Linked DNA regions of Arabidopsis thaliana. The protein of the gene in region 1 interacts with the protein of each later gene in a biochemical or structural test. Each region holds a gene or a part of one and is shown on either strand. Other genes may lie near its edges.

The links.
Region 2: the proteins of PHOT1 (region 1) and PKS1 form a complex in vitro, tested with the Arabidopsis thaliana proteins (one study listed by BioGRID).

Annotation. Positions count from the first base shown.
Region 1 is NC_003074.8:16,815,105-16,822,954, reverse strand, and holds the start of PHOT1 (phototropin 1), read right to left. Parts: upstream 6,235-7,850; 5' UTR 6,040-6,234; intron 4,609-6,039; exon of another isoform or gene 4,412-4,608; 5' UTR 4,399-4,411; coding exon 3,698-4,398; intron 3,159-3,697; coding exon 2,976-3,158; intron 2,703-2,975; coding exon 2,611-2,702; intron 2,516-2,610; coding exon 2,248-2,515; intron 2,153-2,247; coding exon 1,930-2,152; intron 1,833-1,929; coding exon 1,762-1,832; intron 1,674-1,761; coding exon 1,567-1,673; intron 1,484-1,566; coding exon 1,434-1,483; intron 1,311-1,433; coding exon 1,206-1,310; intron 1,123-1,205; coding exon 1,063-1,122; intron 967-1,062; coding exon 800-966; intron 707-799; coding exon 622-706; intron 536-621; coding exon 455-535; intron 351-454; coding exon 247-350; intron 164-246; coding exon 114-163; intron 14-113; coding exon 1-13. UniProt on the Arabidopsis thaliana protein: Protein kinase that acts as a blue light (BL) photoreceptor in a signal-transduction pathway for photo-induced movements.
Region 2 is NC_003071.7:853,541-858,905, forward strand, and holds PKS1 (phytochrome kinase substrate 1), read right to left. Parts: upstream 3,186-5,365; 5' UTR 2,929-3,185; coding exon 1,609-2,928; 3' UTR 537-1,608; downstream 1-536. UniProt on the Arabidopsis thaliana protein: May be responsible for light-regulated cytoplasmic sequestration of phytochromes or may be a negative regulator of phytochrome B signaling. Component of the network that modulates the very low-fluence response (VLFR) branch of phyA signaling.

The DNA of each region.
Region 1 (7,850 bases):
CGGTAAATTATTCCTGAATTTAAGAAAAATTACAAAGATCAACTTAGTATCATGTCAAGATTCCTTGCATCCAAAATTTTCTTTGTAATTAAAGAAGAGGTTGAATGGATTGCCTTGACAGTGAAGATACTCGAGTGCAACGACAACTTGAGCAGCATAGAATCTGAAAGTTCATGCAGGGTTTTTGTTAGTTCAATATTTAAGTGAAGAAATCTTGAGACTTTTTCGAGCGAGGAACACTTGTACCTTACAGCATCTTCTTTGAGAACCTTCCTAGGTTGTCGATCTAGGAGCATGAAGAGTTCTCCTCCTGGATAGTAATCTGTTATAAGACATATATGTGTTTTTGTCTGCAGAATAAAACATGATCCATTAGTAACCAAAGACCAAAGAGACACGCATATATATATATATATATATATATATATATATATGTGTAAACAGAGGTTTTGACCTGAAAAGAAGCGTAGAGTGCAGGAAGAAAAGGATGGTCAAGCAAATCTAGGATCTCTCTCTCAGCTCTAGCTCTATGTACCTGCAAAAAATTATATCAGTGGCTACAAAACTTACAAATAAAAAGCGAAACTCAAGATTCCTTGAAGTGCAAGTTACTGTAATTACTTTGTTTCGGTTAAGCATAACAGCCTTGTCCATTGCTTTCATTGCAAACAACTGATCTGTTCCAACGAGTTCCACTAGATGCACACTGATAAAACACAAATGGGATATTATAAGATTAATGAAGGAAATGTTCTTTTTTTTTGTAAGCTATTTCATTAGATTAGATAGAGTTTCAGACCTTCCTGTGTCACCAGAACCCAAAGGTTTCACCGGTTTGAAATGCTTCAAACCAATCGGTTCACCACTTTCCAACACCTTTTGGATAGCTATCCATGGTGGTGAATCTTTCCTGTGAGGCTTACAATGAACAACCTTTGAGTGGTTTGCCCATAAATCCTCTGGTGTCTTCAGAAACAAGACACAATAAAACATTCTGTCAGATATATTCTAATAAACCTTAATCTAAAATGATCATATTCAGATCCTTAGACAATCACTTACCATGTTGGCATCAGGAAGTTCTCGAACCGCTTCATCGATATTCACAGCTGTTTTTTTCACCTAAAGAATATAGATTAAGGTTTAATACTTGATTTTCTATCAAACGAATACTAAATCAAGATCAATAGTTTAGGATTCCAGACCAGGTCTTCTCCCTCTTTCACTGCGGTTTCTTCAATGACATTGCGAACTGGTTCTACGTGCTTGCTCCCGTCTAGTTGAACTCCAATAAAGTATTGTACTTCTCCCTGTCAACAACATATCAAAGAAAGAATATAGACATCTTCAGTTTTAAATTCATAAACCAAAAGAAATTGAGGATTAGTTTGAAGGTGCCGTATAATGCAAGATATCTATGTAAACCATTATACCTTCTGATCACGCATAGGTTGCAAGTGGAAAATGTTCCAGAACTTCTTTCCTGCCACAGAGAATATAATGTAAATTTAAAACTTTATACAATGATCGACAGATTAATCTAAGAATATCGAAAAAATCGAGTACCGCTCTTGGTGTAGTTGATGAGCTGAACTGTCACTTCGGTTTGGTTATCAATAGCATTTCGAATCTTCTTCACTGTGGTTAGATCAGTCTCTGGACCTTGTAGAAACCTAAAACCATGAAACAAAATTTATAAACACATGCTCTATGCTCAAAAATATTTTCAAAAGACATTTTGAGATCACATTCATGTAATACCTGCAATTTCTTCCAAGAATTTCTTCACGGCTATATTCCGTGAGCTCCAAGAAACTATCAGATGCAAAAATCTAGAAACATAGGACAAAGCAAACAATACGTTTTCAGACCAATCGAAATGAAACATAACAAAAAAAGTTTCCATTTTTCTAAAACATTTGTTCTTACAATGGGATTATCGGGAAGCCTAGGATCAGTGATGACGAAATTCTTCTCGATACGTTCGAGTGTAGTAGCTAGATCAATACCCTTTCTCATTTCCTTTTGTCTCACTTTATCATCCACACTCTCAGGTCTCTCGTCCCTATCACTAATCTCATCGTCTTCTTCTCCATACTCTATAAATCCATCGTCTATAGATTCATCCAAAGATTCGCTCTTCTTCTTGATCCTATCACCAGAGTATCACAACAATCATATCAAAGACTAAATCGATTTTTATAAAGTAATTGTCAGGTAAACAAATGATCTAGTAAGGATTATTACCCCATGAAGGAAAGGGAAGATTTTCTAGATTTTTTCTCGGGAATTTCGTTGATTCGCTGCATCGAGTTTCTTCTTCCGCCGCCAGAGTTTCTTCGGCCTGACGGAACAACATTTTCGGACATTCGCCGAGCTGGTTTTTTCGGAAGTTCATCGCTCTCCGATTTTGTCATGAAGGGATGGAGATTCGTCGATTCGCTTAGTGCCCGAGGTCTCTTCACCGCCTCTACTAGCTCTGTCACTGAGTTTGTCGCCATATCTTTTTGGCGGGCTTTTACAAAACAAAATTTGAAAATATTTTTAAGAAAACATAATAAATGGAAAAAAATTTGGAAAAACAAATAGAAAAAGAAAGTATGTAAATACCATCGTATCGAATCAGAGATTCCGGAAGCCCATTGGGCCTCAAAGCCTTTTCTTTGGCCCCTTCAGTGTGCTTGCTCACCTCCACTTGCATTCTGGTCCAAATAAACAAAACATATTGGTATCTTCTGATTTTTCCTCAAAATCATATTTTTTTATCAGATTCTATAATTCTTTTCTTTTTCCTGATTGATTATTCTCTTTTGTTATTCTACAATAGGATCCGTCGGTGATACAAATCTTTGAATTATTGCGGAGAAAGCAACACAAATCACAGGTCCACACTTAGACCCATTAAAAAGGGTGACATTTTGAATGAAAGAAATAAAGGAGAGAAACGAGTAAATAAAAAGGAATAAGGGACTAACCCGATAAATTTGAGGACTTTGCCACTCTCGTCTTTAATGGGAGCAATCGTGAGAAGATTCCAAAAAGAGGTCCCATCTTTCTTGTAATTCAATATACGCCCACAATAATTGTTACCAGCAGCTAATGTCTCTCTTATCTTTGCTAACTCATCTGCATCTGTACCTGATCCTTGTAAAAATCGGCTACAATAAAACAAAAACCCAAATTATGTTCTTTTCTTCTTTCTTTTTGTAAATAAAATTCATTCATTGAACAAAAAATGGTGGAAACTTTTGTAAGAAATTTTTCGAATTTGCAAAGAAATGTTCGATTTAAAAGAAATATTTTAAGTTATCATTAAAAAATAAACTTAGTTTATAAAAGGCTATTAGTTTGGAAAAACAACATAAAAATTAGGTTTATAAAAAGTTTTTAGAAATTTAGTAAGAGTTACTAAATCATTTAGGATAACCATACCTAAAACTTAATCTTTGTAATTTTGGTACACAGTTTCGAAAAGTTCTAAAAAAATAAAATAAAGTTAGGTTTAATTTTTGAAAATTTAGAAAGAATTACTAAGTCATTTAAGATATCTTTATACATTTATAGTAACCATAAACCTAAAAACAAAACTATGATATTTAATTAGAAAAAACTTTGCAATTTTGGTAATTATTACAGAAAACGAAACGTATTTTATATATTAAAAAAATGCTCTAAAATTTTTTGAATAACTTTTTACCAGTTTCTGCCGACGACTTCTTTGGAAGTGTAACCAGTCATATTGAAGAAACCAGCACTTGCATACATAATCGGATAATCAGGTTTTGTAGCATCTGAGACCACAAACGTTTGTTGAAACGTCGACAACGCATCTTTTAGATCTTCCGATACTCTTGGAATCCCACTCCTCCCGCCGGGAACATCTCCGTCCGACATCTCACCGGAGCTCCGGCAAGAGTTTTGCGAGTTTCTCTGCGATGTAGTCTTTTTCCCGTTAGGATCATTCTCAGTTCCACCAGAGTTCCTCACGCCTACTCCTTGTGGCTTTCCCGTCTTTGTATCGGTCTTCAAAACCAATCCCCACTCTGCCGCTCTCTGCTCAGCCGCCACCGCCGACTTCTGTGGTTTCTCGGCGGTGATCGTCTTCTTGGAGATTGTCTCCGGTGATGGGTCTTTCAGAGCCATCCATGAGGTCGTGACAGCGATTTCTTGATCAGACCGAACAGGGTTGGATGGAGCTGGTTCTTGTTGTGGTCGGGGTTGAGGACTGGTGCCACGTGGATCACTCAAGTTTTGCCACGCTGGTGGTTCAGGACGGAACACCGGGTTATCGGGTCGGGTCAGCTGAGTTGACGGGTTGAATACTTCGAGAGAGCCACGAGTGTCTCTAGGTAGAGTCCGAGAAGATGGTTTGGTCGATGGTTTTTCTGTTGGTTCCATCTTTGAGCTCTCTCTATACACGAAACAAAAATTGTGGCCAGAAAATAAGTTTATATATAATTAGTTTAATGGATAGACATAGATACCACACGCATGTGTGTGTATATGAATCGGCAAATAAAAATATTTATTCTCTTAAAGTTAGATACTATAAATATATGGTATAATATTTTATTGATTTCTAAAAATGGACACATGACCAAGTTCTTTTGTGGTAGATGGATGGTTTGATTACTGAAAATGAAAACACTATACAAATATGTGATATGTGAACTAATTAATAACGGTTAGATATGTCATATGTTTAGTCATAAACAGAATGGGTTTGACCATAAAAAAAGAAGGAGAAATAGAAAGGAAAGTTGATTAAAGTTTGAAATATCAGTACAATATATGGAAATGGTAGTATTACTTATATTTTTTTTTGTCATTTAACTTCTTCAAGTAGTATGGTACATATTGGAGTTAACCTCTTTTCATAAAATTAAAAATAACTAACTTGCATTAAATATTTATTAATAAGAGATTATGTCTACAATTTTATACAAAAAAATATAATATTCTAAACAGACAATGTGGTGGTCCATTTCTACACGGATCGAGAGAAATCCACTCTATATCACTTTGGTGCATTTCTACTAAGGCTGACTGGATATGTCGATATGATTTTACTAGATGCTGACCATAAATAATTCATCAATCACTCATTTTTTTTGAATCTTCAAAAATGTTATCATGAATAACAAGAATCTTGCTCTCTTAGGTGTCTTTCTTTTGGGAAATAATAGACTAGACATATCTAACATGATAATGAATACATGTTTTATATGAATGTATATGCATGCAGGTAACATTATTAAATATGGTTCAAAGAGTTATGGTTTATGGGGCCATAGATGAATGAAGATATGAACTGGAAAATACGCCAATTTTGAGAGTGACAATTCCAAATGAAGCGGGGGTAAAATTGAGAAAACGACACAAAGGTGTAAAGTTTCAATGCTTTTTTGAGTTTTTAGTACCACACAACACATGCATCTTCTAAGGGTGGTTTAGTCATTTTGGTATAAAAATGGACAGTTGTTCTATTACAAAAACAGTAGCTGAACCGATTCTGTTCGATCGATCACAGATTTCAACTAAAAATCTTTGTCTTTTTTTCATGTTCTTGTCATTTTATCAATTTCCACATAAATGAACTTTGTAAAATAGTTTATCACTCTATTTATATGAGAACAAATAAAAAGAGTAAAAAATTTCATGGTAAATAGGAAAATCTATTTTTATTTAAAAAAATTGAAATACATATCTTTATGAATTATGATTGGAGAAATTTTAAATCGAATTCAGTTGAGTTCTTGAAATATGCAACTACCATGTGATGTGTGACTTTCACAAAAAAAAGCTGACATTCAAATAATTTATATATATACTAGTTTCAGATCAAGCTAGTAGCTAGAGTGCTAGACGATATAAAATGATATCTACTTCACTATTTATATTTTTACACATACAAATTAAGGCCGAAAATGTGACAAGAACCCTAAAAAGATGAATAACATACAAATTAAAAAAATGAATCGTCCTAAAAATAGCCTAAGAAAGTGAGCAAGACAGTATAAATCGAAGGGAGAAAACTACCTTGCAAGTTAACTTGTGCTGGAAGAAACAGATTATCCTTCGATTTTTCCTTCACTCTCTAGTCGAGAGATAAACTGAGGAATGAGTTTGGGATGAGAAGTTAACTTTCCCGAGGCTTTTTATACAAATAAGGAAATTTTTTGATAAGAAGAGATTCTAGAAAGATTAAAAAACTATTTAGGTTTCATGATTGATTTAGTTCCGTTCTAGCTCCATCACTGGATTATTTGATCTTCCCATGCTTCGAATGTTTTTGATTCCACATGGCTTCTTTTGTTTACTTTCAAAAGATTGTATAGAAACGTAACACTAGTATCGTTTATCTATCTTCTGTATAACTCTGTCTTGATAATTAGATTATAAACCTGAATATACTCTCTTTGTCAAACAAAACCAGACCAAACATAAATATATATTCTGACTATGCTCAATATTCAATTTCTATGGCACTTATTGGAAACGAATGGTTTATATGACTTAACCAACAATTTTATGATGTTGGTTTGACAGTGATTAATCTAGGTTTTGGTATAGGACAAACAGGATTATAAAAGAGAATATTGCACAAAAAAACTTGCTTGTTGTAACTTGTGCGTATAATTGAAGTAAATGATAAATAAAACATTTGAAGAACACATAAGTGTGTGGAGTGATGGTTGTTCTTTTAAAAGTTTCTGTGTGTGTCAGTGACTATAAGTGGGAGTGAGTTGTCATTTGAAAACGCCAAAACCGTTCCCAAATGCAAATGCAGAGACCCAATATTACATAGATGTTCTCTTTCCACTTTTGTAATGGTAGAAATCTCAGTCTTTATGCATTGCAAGATATTTCATGCAAAAACATTAAAGAAGAACATACACTTTTATCCGATTTAGTGATGAAATCGAACATGGAGATCGGTACAGAAATCACAAACAAATTAAAAAGCAATCACATGTCATTGTTATATGCATTTTTGGTTGATTTATCAAAACTTTCTCTCGCTTTTTTTTTGTCAAAACTTTCTCTCTTTAAAATGGTTTTATTAATTCTGTCTCTATTTTGTTTTCCAAAAATCACTCTAATTATTAATTAGCAGATAACTTCCCTATACATTACGATGCATAAACAAAATATATTGCAAGAATATATAGCAGTTGTTAACCCAATCGATTTGGTATGCTATCAAATCATGGGCACAAATACAACCTTAAACTTTGGATAAAAAAATAAAAATCCAACCTTAAACAACCATGCATTTGATCATTTGCATATTCTAAAAAGCAATGTGTAACTAGTTTAACGGTGTAACAAATATAGACTAGCAATGGCATAGCGCCGATACGTCTCAGATTGAATAACTAAATATTTTTTAATTGCATGTAAATATTGTTAAAAAAAAAAACAGTATCATCATTTGTAAAATTTGGTATTAATATAATGACCCCACTACACTCAAATTCAGTAACATTTTTTTCTCTTAAAAGTTATATTATGATCCCGGTAACAAAAATGGATCTGCCACTACAGACTGGTCATCCCAAGCGATCACGATCACTATCAGGCTTGGTTAAAAATATCAGAACAGTTCAGATTCAAACCCTTTTGTCGGAAACCCTATGGACAAAATTTGTGAAGGGTATAATACAAAGAGGAGAGTATGGTAACATTTCATATACAAGTAGGACCAGAACCCATGTGAAGATTGATCAAAGAGAAAAAAAGATCTTAACGGGTTATAATCTTATCCATCATGTGTCCATTGTGGGTTTGAGTGTGTGGTGGGGGCTGAAAATGTTACATCAATCTTCACATATTGGCCGCTTAACTTC
Region 2 (5,365 bases), on another chromosome or scaffold:
AAAGAGTGTAGAGTTTATGATCTTCTTGAAATAACTGGTAATGGTTTCACTCGGGGCAATTGAACATTAAACGTTACTTGGTAATCAGAGGCAGAGCACTGTGATTGTTATCTTTGTGAAAATCGAGTGATCTTTCCTTTAAAGGTTTATTTTTCTCATGTTATGATACACTTAGGGGTGCTTTAAAAAGATTTGATTTTCTTTATGTTGGCATATGATCATTATTTCCTTCTCTCTGTGGAAGATATTAGGAACTGACACATAGCTAGAGACAGTCAAGAATCCTAGTTTTGATGTACTGTTACCACTTTGTTGTCAGATAATATAAGATTGTTATTTCTATAATCATCATCTGTTCCTGAACCTATGTTTGGGGTTTTTTTGTATTCTTTTGGTAACATGAAGTAATGGAGATGCAGCAAACGACCACACAAGACTCTTCTCCTTCTCTTGGTGGGCTCCTGAGGAACGAACCCCTTTCACATCAAGACAGTGAATGTTTCACCACAAACTCTATGGAATTAAATAGAAACTTCTCTCAGCCATTTTTTGTCATGTGGGATCAGAGTCTCATCTCATTACCAACTTGCCTTTATTCACTTGACGAAAGAGAGCAAGCGGATGCTTTGAGGCAATGTCCAACCAAAGAATTCAAAGATGAGTAATCTTGTTTTGCTTTCTTAACACAAAATGTCTTCTTGCTTTTGTTGTTCTTCTCTCATCCACATATGAAAACTAAGTAGTTAGATGATTAGATTTTTATATATAGTGTGGTCAATTATTTTCTCATATCTTTTGAGAAGGGTACAATACTTATCTTCAAGATCTGTATGTTTCTTGGTTTTAAGCCCATACTAGCTATACTAGCTTTGATGTCATCATCTTGGTTTCATTTATGTCTTTTCTTGAAATCTAATTAGCCCTTTTTGAAATATCTTACAGAGAAATATCAGTGAACTGGATAAGATCATTTGGGGTAAATTCGATCATTTCCCTTATGAGTAGGCTACAGAGACAAACATCTTTGATCTTTCTTTGCATTTATTGTCTTAGTAAGGCACTTTGGTTCTTTTCTCTCATATTGTCAACTAGCAATTAAGGTTTTGTCTACCTTACTTTTATTTCAGACATATACATGGCCTTTAGATGAGTTTCAGGACCAGATCTTAGATATGTTAGGTAATATGACACTTTCATTGATTTAAGTTTCCTCATTAATAGCTCTTTCTGTCAATCTAGTGTACGTTTGATTTAACCCTTTCAAGCTAAGACAAAACTCATATCTCTCTCTCTTGAGTCTTGAGACTAAATCCAAAAAAGGTAAAACTTGGTGGAGCCAATTTTTGGAATGTCTCTCTGCTTATTTTGCTGAATTTGAGATCTGTGTTTTTAACTGACCATAATGTTTTGTTTTCACTCTCCAATCATTTGTCACTCTTTGAGTAACTTTTTCTTAGGTGCAAAAGGTCTCTAAGAAACCCTTTTAAATTGATTTGATCATGGACTCAACAAGACATTATTATAAGTTTACATATCTTTCTCACTCAGTAGAAATTATAGATAAAGAGAGATCAGAGATTGAAATCTTTTTCTTTTACTTTCTTGCAATCACTGACTATAAAGAAGAGATGATTGTGTGTGAGAAATCGAGCTGTTGCTGATCCTTCTTCGTGTTTCGAAACTCTTAGGTTTAGTAGTCTCCATTGGGAATCTAGGAACGTAACTCGGTTGTGTCTTGTTCATGCTGCTTCTTCTGTCTAAATCACCAGAAACCATAACAGATTTATGACTCTTGCAGCTCATCAAGAAACCATTCCCTCCGCTGCTGCTACTCGATTTCCGTCTCTGCGGTGCTGATTTAGCGGTAATAGGGATTCGAGGAATCTGAGTAGGTCGGTTTCTTCTTACAGGACTTGTTGCACATTCTGACATAACAGAGAAATCTGCTGCACTTGCTGTCACTATGCTCCACTCTACGCTTACTTCACTTGGCGCATAACACGTAGGTGAAGCTGGATCACTTCCTTGCCTCGTAAGAAAAGGTTTAGGGTTCCCTGTAAGACCCTCTATCTCGAAAAGATCCGAGCTTGAATCACTCCCTTCACTCTTTGTGTCGTCCTCCTCTGTTCTCGATTTCCATGGAGGCAATGGTAGTTTCTTCTGAACAACACTACTCTTCTTCTCAATAGCCACTGGAGATCCAAAAACTTCAAGAGACTTCCTCTGTGATAACTCCTCTTGCTTCTGAATCTTGATCAGTTCTGTGTTCATATCCGCAGAAGATCTCATTGTGATAACAGAGATATTCGGATCAGCGCTTCTCTTGACCGAGGTTTTCTCCTCGACATCTACAGAATCCCCATCAGAGCATGCGCATTTACACCCCAAATTTGCGAGAAAACTCTTCTTATTATTGGTCACCTTTTGAATCTGACCATTACTGTTCTTCTTTTCCTTGAAGGAACTGTTGCAGCTATTCACCAGTTTGTTCTGAAGCAACACGCTCTGACTATTCCAGCTTGATTCAGACCGGACACTCGGAGTACCAGTAGATTTCTTCGCGCTCTGCTTCGAGTCGACGACGGTTCTCTCAACTTCTGGGTTTGTCAGAGACAGAACACTAGAACCTTGGTCTGAATCCATGTCTCCATTGAAGTACTTCTCAGCTCCAAACACACCAATCTCTGGATCTTCAGGAGCTTTCTTCACCATTTTCTTCTCATCACCAAACTCCTCTTGTTTTGGATTAATGCTCATGTTTAGTGTTTTGCTTGGTTCCATGAGCTTCTTGGTCGTGACAAGAGCATCTTCCTTGCTGCTCAAGTAAGAAGAAGAAGAAACATAGAGACTGCTGTGACTGTTGTTATTCTTCATGAAATCAAAAGATGTTTTTGGGGTACTAGCAGAAGATGGTGTTAGTGTCACCATTTTCTCTTTGGTAGCTTTATATTTTTTTCTCTCTTTATTGCTTGTGTGTAGATATGTGGAATTAGGGTATAAATAGAGTAACAAGACGATATGTTTGATAGCTGTTTTTTTTTTTTTTTCTGAAGCTAAAAGTGTTATGATCTGATCAATGTGAGTGGGTTCCAGTTTGAGTCATTGGCCAGTTGTTGTGTGTGTGAACTGATTTATTTATATATTTGGATAATGAATCTTTGCCAATCAATGGAGAATAATCGAAAAATAATGTTACCCCCGTGACCACAAAAGAAAGGAATTATAATGATATGGTCTTAATTCGATTAGGACTTATTAATACAACAGTACTAGTATACTACTCACATTGCAACTGGATCTCTTAAATAATTTTCTAACCTGCAGATTTCAGAAAGTGTTTTTTTTTATACGTTCAATATTCGTATTTTGTACGTAGACGTTTAGCACTACTATACGTTTTTAAGATTCCGATTTAAAACACATTTGCTACTATATTTGTAGCAACTAAAACCAACTCCAACCGTAGTTTTTTAGTAGAAACTCATACAATTACAAAAAAAAATTATAAATTAAAAAAGAGATGAGAGAGAATCTCTAAAATTGGGAGGATCGTTTCTATTATTCATATAGGTTGTTTTTTTTTGTTTTTTGGATATAAAAATAAAATATTAATACTTTTTGTTTTTTTAGAAACTATATGAATCCTATACATTGGAGGTGCTCTAATGTACAATCCGTTCGGACACGTTAATTACAGATGGGGGTGTATGGCTATATACTTCACATTCATACGATTGTTGAACCTTGTGAGATAATTGAGATGATTAGCTTTAGCAAGAAGAGATGATTTTGTTGGATTGTGTGCAGGTTTAAAACAATCTGATTTGCATTGAGGACTCTCTGTTATAAACCAACATTTTTTTATTATTCTTAAAGGACTCTCTGTTATAAACCAACATTTTTTTATTATTCTTAAAGGACTCTCTTAATTACTTAAACTAAAATTTTGATTAGCATTGTATGTTAAAATAAAATAATACATTGGATAAATAAATTAAACAAAAACATACATTGGATAAACTTATTAACCATCATACAATTAACAAATTAATGACATCGTCAATAAGATCGGAAGATAAATGATTGGATTTTACCAATGGTGTCAAAGAGTTTTACATGAGAAAAAAAGTAGATTTAATGTATTGTTTTTCTTAATTACTTCAAATTAAAGTATTGTTTCACATACTTAATAATGGGCTGACAAGTTTTCGGACACACATTTTCAAAGACATGTTAGGATTGAGCTGACAAGTGAATCTGGATTTACTTGTATTTTAACTTCTAACTTTTTTCAACTAGAAAAGTAGTGGATATGGATTTCACTTGAGGAACAAAAATACAAAAATAGAAACTTAGAAAGCACGAGGGATGTACGTATTTTGTTGCATGGGGAGATATTGACAAAGACCATCGAGTTGGGTTTTGTTAAATATAGTAATATTTTATGTTATGATTTGACGTACGCTCTATAATTTATGTGTAATGTATATTAGAAAATTCATGGAATCGTATCTTGTCATATAATACATATCAAATAATGTGTATTGTTTTTGTTAAATATAACATAACGAAAGATTAATTAATTCAAACATAAAATCTATGTATCTGTCAATCAAGAATATTGTGTAATGTAGTTAATAAAATATGCTTATTAGTTGCTATAGTCGACGTATCACGTATGAATGGTTCGAATTGATCCCACAGCATACGTGTTTGTTTCTCAACCACAACCTTTATTCGTCCAACTAAAACAAAAATGATCATTATGAGATTTACCACAAACCACAAGCATGACTACAAATATCAAAACTAATAAAAATTGATTATATACCAAAACGGTATCACCAATTTATGATGTACTACGTATACTTTCTAGTACCGTTATCTGATTTTTAATTATCATTATATAGGATTTTTTTTTAAATGTCTCTTTTACAATATTTATATAAAATCATATTGTAATTTACAAAAGCTGAGGTGATTGGTAATCCTAAAGGCTTCCATATGCATATAAAATCATAATTTACAAAATTCTTAGATATCTCGAGAGTTTTGAAGATTGCAAACCGGAATGTGTTCCAAAAAGTTGTAATCAAGCGGCAATTAAAAAACTCTAATTAACTTAACTTTAACTATTTTTGATATTGTTCAAAGTTATGGATTTAAGGATTGATAATTTCGGTTTGAGTCAACTCTCCCAGTAAACAAATGCTAGCAATATAGGGGCGTTTCAAGTTGCAGAAAAACACACTAATTGTCTCTAAAGTCTACAGCCAGAAACACAATCTGATAGGTCCCAAAAGCAACAAACACACACAAAATCCCTTTTTAATGGTAGTTTAAACTACCTATTTGTTTTGATTTT